Linked DNA regions of Lonchura striata. The protein of the gene in region 1 purifies or fractionates together with the protein of each later gene. This does not show direct contact. Links are inferred from orthologs where the notes say so. Each region holds a gene or a part of one and is shown in the gene's direction. Other genes may lie near its edges.

The links.
Region 2: the proteins of PFDN4 (region 1) and PDRG1 purify together in Homo sapiens (co-immunoprecipitation; 3 studies listed by BioGRID and IntAct, counting the BioPlex papers as one, with this or other methods). This does not show direct contact. The link is inferred for Lonchura striata from reciprocal best matches to the Homo sapiens genes PFDN4 and PDRG1.

Annotation. Positions count from the first base shown.
Region 1 is NC_134619.1:2,289,930-2,297,551, forward strand, and holds PFDN4 (prefoldin subunit 4), read left to right. Parts: upstream 1-4,865; 5' UTR 4,866-4,946; coding exon 4,947-4,970; intron 4,971-5,710; coding exon 5,711-5,818; intron 5,819-6,250; coding exon 6,251-6,394; intron 6,395-6,650; coding exon 6,651-6,782; 3' UTR 6,783-7,072; downstream 7,073-7,622. UniProt on the Homo sapiens protein: Binds specifically to cytosolic chaperonin (c-CPN) and transfers target proteins to it. Binds to nascent polypeptide chain and promotes folding in an environment in which there are many competing pathways for nonnative proteins.
Region 2 is NC_134619.1:7,630,257-7,636,995, reverse strand, and holds PDRG1 (p53 and DNA damage-regulated protein 1), read left to right. Parts: upstream 1-4,551; 5' UTR 4,552-4,597; coding exon 4,598-4,681; intron 4,682-4,779; coding exon 4,780-4,855; intron 4,856-5,030; coding exon 5,031-5,105; intron 5,106-5,404; coding exon 5,405-5,485; intron 5,486-5,799; coding exon 5,800-5,882; 3' UTR 5,883-6,149; downstream 6,150-6,739. Other genes in the region: XKR7 (XK-related protein 7), read right to left, coding at 1-179. UniProt on the Homo sapiens protein: May play a role in chaperone-mediated protein folding.

The DNA of each region.
Region 1 (7,622 bases):
ATATTTGAATAAAGGTTGGAAATCCCATCAAACTCAGAGCTCCTGCCCTGGATTTAAGGGACAAGGTGTGCTTGGGAAGCTCATCAAAAACAACATCTGAACTTCCAGAGCAAAACCTTGGAGCTCATGGAAAATTACCTGAATGATTTTCATGTAGTTCACTTCAAATTAAGCAAATATCACCAAAGTAACTCCTCAGTGGGAAACAGCTTTATGTTGGGAGTGGATTTTCACTCTTAATGCCTGTAACTCCAGGAGGTTTGCTCTGGACATATCACACAATTCCTGTCTCCTTGCCTCGGATCTTTCTCCTGGTTGGGAAAAGCTTTTTTTGCTAATTTGGCTTTAAAATTTTTGTGAAATCTCTGAGTTTTCTAAATGAATACAAAATGCTGAAATGCCAAAGGAGCAGATTAACAGGGAGAGTGTCGCAGGAAGGTATTTCACAATGTGGGGAAGGCAAATTGATTGCAACTTGCAAACTCTGGTTGTTATTGCAGGGTTTGCTCGTGTTTGTTTATATACTTTTAATTCTGTGTTAATTCTTTTAATTCTCTTTCCAGCTGAGGATCTCTGAGTTTTGTAAATATTGATGGGAAAGTACAGTAATTCCCATTCTCTGGAAGAGAAACTGAAATGGTTTTGAAAATTGAGATCTCTAAGATATCCACTTTTGCTGTGAAATGAAAGCAAAAAAACCCCTTTATTCTATTTTCACTCAAATACTGGTTTTAAACATCAAACTCCTCTTCTTATGTCCCATTCTGGATGATTACTCCTCTCCAGGATGGCAGTAGCAGTGGATGAAAACTCAAATTCCACCAGCCCAGGAATCCTCCAGCTGGCCATGACTTGTGTGGGGTTATAAACATTGCCACACTCCACTACTAAAGGAGCCTCTAAATCAGTGGTTCAAGAAAATGAAGAAGATTATTGACTTAATTCAAGCAAAGATTGCTTAAAAAATAAAAATCGGGCCATCTTTCTTTGTGAAGAAACATTTATTATCTGCTTTAGATGAGCAAGCAGTGCTTCATGCACTGCATCTTCTAGAGAGGAGCTTCCAGGGGAGAATCAGGGAGAAAATGGTGAAGCAGACCAAGAAACCGAGGTCCAGGAGAAGATGCTCTGAGAGTCAGCTTGGAATTACTCAGGACTTGGCAGGTTTTGCTTTTTTTTTTCTGGAAATTAGAATCACTCACTGGGATGTTACAATTTCTTGTCTCTTTTAGCAATATTGCCCTGCCTGAGCAGGGAAGGGTTTGTGCAATAGTTACTGACCCAGGCTGAATATTTCTCTTTGAACAGAAATCTGGAAGCTTTTGTCACCTTCCATGCAGAGCTGTGGAAGGCACATTTATTTATTTTTAAAAGCAGCAGCATTTAGGAATCCCTGGAAGTGTCCCAGGCCAGGTTGGAAGGGTTTGGAGCAACCTGGGATAGAGGAAGGTGCCCCTGCCTGTGGTGGGGGGTGAAATATGATGATTTTTGAAGTCCCTTTCAACTCAAACCACTCTGTAACTCCATGAATATGTAAAATCTTGGTGAATTTTTTACCCATGAGGTAATTAATCCTCATTTCACACTTCTCACAGAAAAAAACTCTGCTGAAGAACAATAATTTACATTCTTCTTTATGTGCAGTTACACATTTAGCCTTCTGCCACGGCATTTCCATGCCTTGCCCACATGTAGTTGACACCCAAAGCAGCACTTTTGTGATGGCACTGAAAAATTCTGAGTATTTCCAGTTGTAGTGGAATTCATGGTGAGGTTGCTTTTTATTTAACACGAGGGATTTTGAAAGAATGAGGGCAGAAAGGTGAGAAAGTCTGCTTTCCTTCCCTCAGATTACAAAATAATGAAAGAAATCCTCACTGTGGGGGATTTGCCACATAAATAATTAGGAGATGTCTCTTTTTTTTTGGAAAAGATAAACACCCTTAGAAAAGGATTTTTTTTTTTTACTTCAAGCTCCATTCCCCCTGCAATGCTGGTACAAGAATGGCAGACACAAGGACCTGCACTCCACAGTAAATCCCAAATATTGTGGGAATGTCACAGCCACCTCCTTCACCACACTGGCACGACTGAAACGGGACAAATTCGTGTGGCTTTTGCTCAAAGTGGTCCCCTCCATCCTGGAGAAACAACCACTTCATCCCCATTTCCAAGTCACAAACCGTGTTGGTGTCTGAGGGTTTGGAGATCACCAAGGCCTGAGAAAGGTCTGTGGAGCTTCAGGGAGAGGGGAGAAGAATTTGGGAACTCCAAAGATTTCCATGAGGCAGGGAGAGGGGAGAAGAGTTTGGGAACTCCAGAGGTCTCCATGAGGCAGGGAGAGAGGAGAAGAATTTGGGAACTCCAAAGATTTCCATGAGGCAGGGAGAGGGGAGACAAGTTTGGGAACTCCAGAGGTCTCCATGGGGCAGGGAGAGAGGAGAAGAATTTGGGAACTCCAAAGATTTCCATGAGGCAGGGAGAGGGGAGACAAGTTTGGGAACTCCAGAGGTCTCCATGGGGCAGGGAGAGAGGAGAAGAATTTGGGAACTCCAGAGATTTCCATGAGGCAGGGAGAGAGGAGAAGAGTTTGGGAACTCCAAAGGTTTCCATGAGGCAGGGAGAGAGGAGACAAGTTTGAGAACTCCAGAGATTTCCATGAGGCAGGGAGAGGGGAGACAAGTTTGGGAACTCCAGAGGTCTCCATGAGGCAGCAAAGCATGGCAATGCATTCCCCAGCGAGCTGCCCTGCAGAAGGCTGGAGCAAGGAAGGGAAAATGTGCAAAGAGCCCCAGAGGAGCCGTGAGACGAGGGCAGGGCGTGGAAGGGATCCCAGGAGGAGAAGCCAAACAACAGCAGCAGGGAGCAGAGCAAGAAGGAGCAAGTCCTTTATGCAACGGGAGAGGAGCGAGGGCGCTGGGTTCAGCGGGTTCCTCTCCTTCCCTCCACGCTGCCTGGCTGCACTCGTGAGCTGTTTTCACTTTTATTTACATAAGAAAGGTCTGCAGTGAGTTACTCTTGGCAAGGCTCACTCCGCAGAGCCTGCCCGAGCGTGTGGGAGAATAAAAAGGATTTCTTTTCAAAGCCTTGGAGTCATCAGATTCTTGTGAAATCCACTCCTTTTCTCTTGGGGGAAGCTGCACTGGCTCCGTGTGCTGGGCAGTTCCTGCAGCTAGGGAAATACCCGCTGTGTCCTTTCCTAGCAGGAGGGGTGAGGGTTTGTTTTCTGAGGAAAAGAGAGGTTTGGAGCTGGGATTATGTTTTTATAGAAATTAATAATAAATAATGCGCTTCTCTGGGGAGAAATTTGGTGATGAACTTCTTTCCTCAGTGGGAAGCAAGGCACGGTGATTATGATGATGATGCACCAAAATAAAATGTAACATCAGCCTGAGGAGCACCCAAAATATCCTTTATTATCCTGTCTTTCCCACTGGTTTGGAACTGGAGTTGTGAAATGAGCAGCCATTCGGAACCGAAAAACAACCAAACCAGAAATCATTTTATTTCAGGCAATATTATAGAATTAAGTATCCCATCCTACTCCATCCCATCCCATTCACCCATCCCATGGATCCCATCCATATCCCACTATCCCATCCCATCATCCCATCCCATCCCAATATCCCATTATCCCATTATCCCAATATCCCATTATCCCGTGGATTCTAATATCCCAATATCCCATGGATCCCATCGCAATATCCCAGTATCCCGTTATCCCAATATCCCATGGATCCCATCCCAATATCCCAATATCCCAATATCCCAATATCCCAATATCCCAATATCCCATGGATCCCATCCCATGGATTCCAATATCCTGTTATCCTGTTATCCCACTATCCCATGGATCCAAATATCCCAATATCCCGTTATCCCAATATCCCATGGATCCCATTATCCCAATATCCCATTATCCCATGGATCCCATCCCATGGATTCCAATATCCTGTTATCCTGTTATCCCACTATCCCATGGATCCAAATATCCCAATATCCCATTATCCCAATATCCCATGGATCCCATTATCCCAATATCCCATTATCCCATGGATCCCATTATCCCATGGATTCTGTTATCCTGTTATCCCATGGATCTCATTCCATTCTCTCATTCTCCCAATATCCCAATAGTTATCCCGTTATGCCGTGGGTCCCAATATCCCAATATCCCATGGTTCCCATCCTGTTATCCCGTTATCCCAATATCCCAATATCCCAATAGTTATCCCGTTATCCTGTTATCCCGTTTTCCCAATATCCCAATAGTTATCCCGTTATCCCAATAGTTATCCCGCTATCCCAATAGTTATCCCAATAGTTATCCCGTTATCCCAATAGTTATCCCGCTATCCCAATAGTTATCCTGCTATCCCAATAGTTATCCCGTTATCCCAATAGTTATCCCGTTATCCCGTTATCCCAATAGTTATCCCAATAGTTATCCCTCTATCCCAATAGTTATCCCAATAGTTATCCCGCTATCCCAATAGTTATCCCAATAGTTATCCCGTTATCCCAATAGTTATCCCGTTATCCCAATAGTTATCCTGCTATCCCAATAGTTATCCCGTTATCCCAATAGTTATCCCGTTATCCCGTTATCCCAATAGTTATCCCGCTATCCCAATAGTTATCCCGCGATCCCGCGGGTCCCACCCGTTCCCGTCTCATGGCGCCCCCTGGCGGACCCGCACGGCGCCTGCCGCCCCTCCCACCGGGCCGTACCAAGTGCTCCGGGGGCGCCTTCGCATCCCTCCGAGCTCCGCGGCCGCTCGGGACATCCCGGCGCGCTGCCAGCGGCGCCCATAGAGACAATCCCCGATTTTCCCAGGGCCGCGGCCTTTTCCTGGAGTTTTTCCTTTTCCTCCTTCTTCTCCCCGCGCCCGCTGCCCCCCCTGTGCGCGGGTGGTTCAGCCCCGCATGGCTGCTGCAGCGCCAACATGGCCGCCACCATGAAGAAGGCGGTGAGTGGGGAGCGGGCCCGGCGGATTCGCTCCTTTCCAGCAGCATTTGCTCCCTTCCCGCAGGAATTCCATCCCTCCCGAGGCTGCTCCGCGGTGTCCCTCAGCCTCGGACGCGGCCGGGCCGAGCCGTGCCCAGAACGGCGCGGCCGCCGCTCGGGAGCTGAGGGCCCCGGGCTCGGGCGGCTCGTTTAAACAACGATGATAAACAGGGTGGACGTGAGGAGAAAATTGTTCTCTGAGAGGGTGCTTAGTTATGGAATCGTCGTCATCGTGGCTTGGGTTGGAAAGGAGCTTTAAATTAATCTCATTCCATCATTGCACCTCCTGCCATGGCAGGGACACCTCGCACTGTCCCAGGGGCTCCGAGGCCCGACCTCCCTCACAATTCTTTCCTAAATATCCCTCCTGTCTGTCAATTCGCAGCCATTCTGCTCTGCATGTCACTAACTGCTCCTGTTCATGGTGTCTCTGCAGAGAAAACTCGGAGCAGGGTGTTCAGTTCAGCCGCCAGTGGCAAGGAAACTGTTTTGCCTTTAGGATGGCAGTGTTGTAATTGGATGTTCCCCATCTAAATGTGGGTATTTCTGGTGTTCTTGAAGAGGCACTTTGAGCAATCAGGTGCATAAGCAGAGTGTGGTGTTTGCCAGATTATTTCCCATCACTTTGTAGGAGCATCCTTGCAGTGAAACTCAAATTAATATAAGGACACAAATCATCATTTTTACCTCTCCTCCTCACAGGCTGCAGAAGATGTCAATGTCACCTTCGAAGATCAACAGAAAATTAACAAGTTTGCAAGAAACACCAGCAGGATCACAGAGCTGAAAGAAGAGATAGATGTGAAAAAGGTATATTTGCTTTAGATCTCATGAGCTTTTCGTTGGATTTTCAGCTGGAACAGAGAAAATTAGCAGCAGTGAGTTACTGTGAGTTCAGGTTATGCTTGGGTTCTGATATGAGGTTTCTTATACTTTGGAAATAGAGAATGATAAGATATCATATTAATTAATAAATGCCACTAATATCAGATATTAGTGACATTTAAACCTGTATTACCCTTGCTTGGACAGTTAATTATTCCGTTAATGACAGATAATGAGTGCTGACTTGGGGTTTTTACTGGATGGAATTGCTGAATTCCAGCTCTGACTCTGATCTCGTGGATGTCCTGGTGGTGGGTGGGATTTGTCCCCGGACTCCAGCCTCTCTGGCCTCCTTACCCAGCTGTGCCCATGGAAGGGCTTTACACAGGGAGCCTCTTTCTGTGTCCTGGCAAACAGAAGCAGCTGCAGAACCTGGAGGATGCCTGTGATGACATCATGCTGCTGGATGATGAAGATTCCCACCTGATTCCCTACCAGATTGGGGATGTCTTCATCAGCCACTCCCTGGAGGAGACGCAGGAGATGCTGGAGGAGGCCAAGGTTTGTCTGGAGCAGCTGGGCTGTGCTGTGAGCTGGGCACTGGGGTGGGTCTGTGCACCCTCTGCAGCTTTCTCAGTCTGAAATTTGGTTTGGTTTAGGATTTGAACTACTCCAAAGGCACTCCAGCAGTGAATCCTGCAGCCAGACCTGGGAATGAGTTGGAAAAGAGGCACCTCTCTGCTGGTTCTGTGTTGCTGACAAGCCTGGCTCAGTTTGTTGCACAGGATTGATTTGAATTTATTTTTTTCTTTTGCAGAGGAGTTTACAGGAGGAAATTGAGGCGCTGGAATCCCGAGTGGAGTCGATCCAGAGCGTGTTGTCTGACCTCAAAGTTCAGCTCTATGCCAAGTTTGGGAATAACATAAATCTGGAGGCTGAGGACAGTTAAAGCTTTTCTAAACACAACACCCAACTTTTCCTTAGGTTATTAAATGTTTTGATAACATTGCTGCAATTATACTGAGAACAGAAAATCCATCCCTTTCTTTTTGTTGATTTGTCTTTTTTTTTTTTTACTTCCCTGTATAAAGTTCTGTACATTTAATAAGAACTTCCTTATTTTGGTTATTGCAGTTATTTATTTATTCAGGAAAGCACCGACTTCACATTGCTGGCAAAGCATCAAAATTGGAATATTTGCGTGGTTTATTAAAGCAATAAAGCCAGGCATGTATTGGAGTTTCCTGGGTTTTGTTTTCCACTCATGAAAAGGTTTAAAACAAATGGAAGGAGGGAATTTTGGAGTGGCTGTTGGCTAAAAACTGTGTGACACGGGACATGATGAGGGAATGATGCTGTCCAGGGGTTTTTAAGAGCCCTCCTGGAGCTCCTAAATTCCTCCTCTGTGTTTCACCCTCAGCTCAGGTGTCAGGAGTTTGCCAGGGGACAAACAAGGGCTCTTTAAAGCTCAGTTTTGTAGTGAGGAAAAGCTTTTGGAGCCCCCATATTCACTCATTTACTGCTTTGTATTTGGGAATCCCAAAAACTGCTGCAAGTCACAGTGGTGAGTCTTAATTTCTAATTGTCCTGAACAGCTCCTAAATCCATATTTCTGTAGCAAATTGATGTCACAGTGGTTCATAGAGTCAGCATCGAGCCCTAATCTTTGCCTCCATCACTAGGAGGAGTTGAATGTAATTTTTAAATGTCTTAATTACCTTAATTTGTCTCTATAACCAAACAAAACACAAAAGGGGGGTGATTTTTCCAGGTGAAAACTGCTGGAGTT
Region 2 (6,739 bases), about 5.3 Mb from region 1:
AGGTCCGAGGCACCGTCCGCGAAGCAGACGAGGAGCGCGCAGAACACCCAGCACCCGTCCCGCAGCCGGTACCGCCGCGCCGGCGGCTCCGCGCCCGCCTCCCGCCGCCCGCCGCCGCCCTCGGGGCTCTCCAGCAGCACGGCCGGGCCGCCGCCGCCGCCGTCCGACTTCGCGGCCATGTTGTCGGGGGAAAGGAGGAGAAAGGAGGGAGCGGGAGAGACTTCCGGAGGGATGGAGCCCGCCCCGGCAGCGCCCGCCCCCGCCGGCCTCGCCCCGCGCCCGCCGACACCGGCTCCCCCCGCCCGGCGCCGGGAGCCCCGGCGGGTCCCGCCGCTCCCCGCCGGAAGGGGCAGCCGCCCCCCCGCCGGCGCCGCGGGGTCCCGGAGGAGCGCTCGGTGCCGCCGGCGCCGCCCCGCGCTGGGAAGGGCGGCCGGCCCCTCCCCCGAGCGGCCCCCACCCCCCGGTCCCCGCCGGTAAAACCGCCCGGACCCGCCGAGCCCCGCACGGTGCGCCCCACCCCGTCCCGGCGGAACCACGCTGGCCGTGCTGTCCGACCACCCCTTCCCAGCCCACCGGGTACCGGAGCTTCCCGGGAAGCTCCTGGGTAGCCCCGCGACCCCCCAGCCCCGAGGCTCAGTCCAGGCAAGACCCTGCCCGTGAGTCCAGGCTTGGGCCGAGGTCCGGGTGGGTGGGGGCGTGGGTGCTTCTTCTCCCCTTGGGCTGAGACACGACCGCAGACCTCCAAAGCCCTGCCCGATGCAGCCAGAGAGGCCAGCAGGGACTGGCTGGGCTGCACCTGAGCCCTGCTTTGGAGGGAGACTCATAGAGTCATCATAGGATGGTTTGGGTTAGAAGGGACCTCAAAGATCAATTTGTGCCAACGCCTTACCAAGGGCAGGGACATCTTCCACTAGACCAGGCTGCTGAAAGAAGTTGTATCCTCTTTGAGAAGACCAAAGATGGGGTTTGGGAGTAGGCTTTCGTTGTTCCCGAAATGAAACTCGTGAAAGAGTTACATATGTTATTCCCCAGCCTTGGGAATGTCCCTGAAAGTGAAGTACCAAGGCCACTGGAGTCTGGGTGCACAAGAGCCCTGACGCTGCCCCGCTCCGGCGCTCCACCTCTCCGCTCGCTGCCCGCGGCAGCTCGGACACAAGGTGTCGGGCAGAGCGAGGGGCCGCACCCCGGGACAGGAGCTCAAAGGAGGAGCAGCGCTGTGCCGGCATCCCTGGCACTGCTGGGCGGGAAAGGGCTGCGAGGGAAAGGGCTTCCTCTCCTTTGTGGCGGGTCTCCAGGGAGGGTGACTGCATACAGCAGCTGCCTCCTGGAGGCAGCCCCAGCCCCCAGCCCCCGAGGCTCAGCCTGGTGCCTCTGCCTGCGGAGGAGCCCGGCTGGAGCCCGGCCCGTGGTCAGCACGCCGTGCCACATGGAGAGGAGGAGGGTGTTTGATCCCGGGAAACACAGCTAACTTCCAAATCCTGCCTTGTAGGATGGCCAGAGGGATCAGCACAAACCGGGGGTGGGGTAAGCCTGCATTCCTGGGATGAAATCCAGGGGGTGAAGATGTTACTCAGCACAAGGCAGTGGCCGGGCCCTCGGCAAGGCTCTCCCCGTGCTGCATGTATTAGCATCGATAATGAAACACCTCACCTTGAGATGCTCCTGACAGATCCCCTCCACAAATGCCTGCCTGGGGGAGGGGATGCTCCCAGCATCCCAAAGCCTGAAGAAAGCAGCCTTTCATCAATAACCAGGCAGGGCAGGGCCCCTTCCAAGGATGGGGTCCACTGGCCAGAGCCCCTGTCAATATTTGGCCACTCCAGACCTCTTTGGGCTTGGTCCCTGGGGGCTCTCTGTCTTGGCTGGGTGATGGAGCACAGACCACGTTACCATGACGGTGGGCACAGCGCCAGGGAGAGGGGACTTGGAAATCAGGGAGAGACAGACCCACCTTTCTCCCCTGACCCTGAAACACCCCCTCTGAAGCAGCAGTTAAAGATCCACAGCCTGAGAACATGGAGACCGTGGTTTGAAGTCTGATTTATCTTAACAACAGGCCCCAGCAGCCACATGAAAGAAGAAGAGAGAAAAAAAGCCTTATAAACATCCCTGAAGCTTCCTGTGCAGCTGCCAGCAGGCAGGGAGGGTTTCTGGCTGCATACAGAAAAGGGCTGCAAGGAAGAAAAAGGAACATGATGAAACCAAACCTGCTCTTTCCACAAAACACACAGCAAAGCAAAGCAGCTCCCGGCAGCGGGTGGGTGGCTGCTTCCCCTGAGTGCCCAGTTCCCAGGGAACTGGTCCAAATGGACCTCTGGTTCCAGTCTGAGTCCAGCCTCCAAGCAGAATGTCTGCCCCTGGTGCTGGCTCCAGGAGGAGAAATCCATGATGATTTGTGGCTGGCTCAGAGCTGGCTGGGGAGAGGCCGCAGAGTGCAGCACCAGCCACTTCTCACTGCCCTGAGAACGTTTTCCAGATGCCCATGGCTTGGCGATCCCTCAGCTGTGCTTCCCCCATGCCTGTGCTGAGCTGGAACCCACTTTCCCAGGGAGAGCAGCCCCTGCCCTTCCATGCAGCCCAACATTCCTGGCAAAACCCTGTCTTCACTGCACTGTCATTGGCAACCCCAGAGTCACTGTTTCTTTCCACTGCTGCCAGGACACAGCCAGCCTGCTCCCATCCCTGTTCCCATGTCACATCTCATCCCATCCCCATCCCCATCCCCATCCCCATCCCCATCCCCATCCCCATCCCCATCCCCATCCCCATCCCCATCCCCATCCCCATCCCCATCCCCATCCCCATCCCTCCTGCCCAGACTCTGAAAGCCCTCCCTCCTTCCTGCTTTTTCAGATCTCCAGCCAGCTGCTCCCACCGACAAATGAGCATTTCCTAGCATTGGCATCCAGCCCCAATCCCAGTACATTTTCTGGCTGATGTCAGGAAGGAATCTAACCCGAGTGTGGATCATTCCCAGCCTGGAGTGCCTGTGTGTGCCCCAGCAGTGGCTCCCACTGCTCCCCTGAAGCTTCTGTACTTCATTTGATGCAGCCACAGACAGAGATCTCAGTTAACTGAAACAAATGATCTTATGGGATTAGGGCCAGTAATCTTCCGATCTGGGTAATCTCCCTTAAGGGATTATTTGCCCACAGAAGTGTGGTGACCACCAGCCAGCTGCTGCCTTTCTCTCTCCATCCCTGTCCCCTGTGGTCCTCATCTCTGGCAGCTCAGAGGGGCCACAGCAGTGGGGTCACCACCTTTGCAGAGCTCCTTGTCAAATGAGTTTCATGAAGTGCATGTGCCAGGGCCCCCAAGTGCTGGGGCTCCTCCTCTCCCCAGCCCCTATTTGCTGCTTCAGGCAGGTTCTTGGGGCTCCCTCCCTTGGAAGCACTGATCTAAAGCAGATCAGAGGTCCCCCCACTATCACCAGGAAAGCAGCAGCTGGGGGGCACAGCCATGGTGGCAGAGATGGACAGCTGGGGACAGGGCTGCATTCAGAAACTTGAGATGCTGTTTCAAGGCTCTGTCCAGAGAAGGGACATGGGACATGAGAACCCATGTGCCCTGTTACCCGCCAGCCCTGGGTGTGCTCCTGGGGGCCCCTTTCCCTCTGCAGAGTGCACACGGTGAGGGTCTACCAGTCCTCACCATCAGTGCTGTGTCTCTGCATCTCCCACACCCCATTTTTGCAGCTCCTCTTGCTCATGGCTGGGTGGGGCAGAAAGAAAGGGATAAAAAGGATTTTGAGTGGCAATATATTTGCCTTCCTGCAGGCAGGGGTGTTCAGAGCAGCAGATGGATATGGTCGCCTGCCAGAGCATTCCCGGGACCAGCCCTTGCCTGACACAGACTGGGGGGCACCGGGGCTGGCTGAGGGTGAGTCAAGCTGCCGGGACCACAATTGGATCCAGTCCCTGGGGATGGCAGGTCCTGGACGCTGAGCTACAGATGAGCCACCAGCTGCACGAAAGGAAACCTGAGCTAATCGCCCCTCTCTGAGTGCCCTTTATTGCTTTCTGGGATGACAGAGAGGTCACCTGATGCTCCAAGGGCCCAGCTGCCAACAGCGGCACCGTGCTGGGAAAGCAGCGAGGAAGAGGAGACAGACGGCGGTGCTGGGGGCGAGGGGATGGGCTGTGAAAAGTGATAAATAATTCACACACAAAGGGACCAGGCAGGCCAGGGCTCTCAGCCCCTGTCCCTCAGGGCTGTGCCGAGCGGGGTGGGTTGGGGGCCGGCGACGGGGCCGAGACCCCCACTCCGGGGCTCGGTGCCACGCGGCCACACCGAGCCCTCCATCCTTCTGCCGGGCACAGAGGCAGCGCGGAGCCAACCGCGGCACCGCTAGTCTGCACTACGGAGGAGACCCCGCGCTGGCAGCGGGCACGTCCGTGCCAGTGCCAGCCCACGGCCGTTCCCGGCCGCTCTCGCCCCACGCGTGTTCGCGGCCCGTCGGTCCCGCCGCTCCCCGGCGGCGCTCCCGGCGGCGGCCGCCAGAGGGCGCGCTGAGCCCGGCGCCTCCGCCGCGGAACCGCCCGCGCGGCCGCGGCGGCGGCCCGGAGCCGGACGGCGGCGGACCCGGAGCGGCCCCGCCATGGCCCGGGACCCGGCCTTCGTGCTGCGCTACCTGGCCGAGGTGGAGGAGCTGGCCGAGGACGTGCTGGCGGCACGGCAGCAGGTACGGCCCGGCTCCGGCGGGCCTCCCCCGCCCCGCTCTGGCCCGCCGCCGGTAGCCCCGAGTCCCGGCCGCTCCCGCCTCTCTCGCTCCCGTTGCAGATCGTGGACCTGGACGTGAAGCGGAACCGCAACCGCGAGGCCCTGCGGGCGCTGCACAAGGACCCGGAGCCCGACGGTGAGGCCGGGCGGGCTGCGCCCACCGTGACCTCGTGGCCGCGGGTCGGGCTCCGCTGACAGCCCCTTCCCTTCCCTTCCCTTCCCTTCCCTTCCCTTCCCTTCCCTTCCCTTCCCTTCCCTTCCCTTCCCTTCCCTTCCCTTCCCTTCCCTTCCCTTCCCTTCCCTTCCCGCAGAGAAGGCCATGGTGTGTTTCGGGGGCATGTTCATCGAGCTGCCGAAGGCGAAGACCCGGGAGATGCTGCAGCAGGGTGAGCTCACCCCGAGGGCTCCGTGTAGCTTTAAGTGATTTAATCAGCACCGTAATTAACAAGATGTTGGCTCAATTAACGGACTTGTGCCCAGGGATGGGCTCTGAGGTGCCCAGAACCTCTCGAGAGGCTGATTCTGGCCCGAGCTGTGCCTTGGGAAGCACACGGGGAAGCTGCTCAGCCCCGGGGGTGGTGCAGGCAGGGTGGGACTCCCCTGTGCCTGTGTTGTGTCCCATGGGAAATTGAGCCTTCATCCCAGAGCCCACCGCAGTCCTCCTCACTCCCTCCTCTTATCCCAGACCAGGCAGAGCTGGATGAGGAGATAAACAACCTCCGGAAGGAGCTGCGGGTGAAGGTCAACCGGCTCTATGAAGCTCAGGGTAAACTCTCCCGCTGGAACCTGCTCAGTGCTTGGGAGCTGACTCGTGTATCAGCAGATTCCTTAGTTCCATGTGTTCCTGCAGCCTCTTTTCCACTGGTTTTGCAGTTCCCTCCCTGCCCCAGCAGCGTTGTTTGTCTCTGTGTGGAGCTGCCACCCAGCAGCATCCTAAACCCCCTCCAACCCTGTGCTGGGGTGACCCCACTTCAGCTTCCCGGGCTGTCCCTGCCCTCCCCACAGCCCCTCTCGAGTTGAACATGAACTGCTGCACTTCTTTGGTGACAAAATCCTGATGTTTTCAATGTGTTTTCTCAGGTAAACCTGAGCTGAAAGGGTTTAACCTGAATCCCATGTCTGCTGAGGAAATGAAGCTCATCAACCGCATCCTGGAGGGCTGAGGTGGCTGTGCCATTGTCACAGCGTGTTTGGCTGTCACTGTGGGCTCATGTTGCAGCAGCCACAGTCCTTGGGATTTGTAGGACGTTGGAGTGTCCAGAGCCCACCCAGGTGAGGGCCCTGGGAATCCTTTGCCTCCTCAGCTGCAGCTCTGCAGTTTCTTTGGACCACAAACCCTTTCCTGCTCTGTGCTGGGTCTTAGCACAGTGCTGGGCAAAGGCCCACAGCTGGGGTGGAAGTGGGATCATTAAAATCAGAGCAGTGAGACATTCCTGACTCCATGTGCATGTTCCTTGTTGGGGGTTTATGTGAACACTTCTGGGGCTTGGCTTCAGAGCTGCTCCTTTGTCACGCTGGGAACAGGAGTAGGAGGGATTGGGAATCCTCCACATGCCTGAAGCACAGAAGAGGAGTTGTGCACGCCTGTGGCATTCAAACAAAGCAAAGCTGTACATCTGAGGCACGTCAGGAATCTCTAAGGATGTGTAGGGAGGAGCAGGAGGAGGCAGCATCCTTTTAGTCTTGCTGGGAAAACATGTTCCACTGTTGGAGGGCAGGAGATGACAGAAATGAGGCTTTCAGGACTGGATGAACTCATAAAACTGGGGTATGTTTTAAAAAGCAGCCTGAGGAGGGCTGAGCAGGAATAGTCACTGAGTTTGTCTTGTAGTAAAAGGACAATTGATGTCATTAGTAGTAGTTTCTGCAAAGGTTTTAAAATTTGCTGTTTCTGTGCTCCTCCAAGTGATTAACTTGGTCAAGAACATAAGTTTTTAAAAAAATTAGTGATAATTAGTACATGACTATACAGTGAGTTTGATATTTTTCCTGCACACAGGGAAGTGTCTGGGTCCAACCA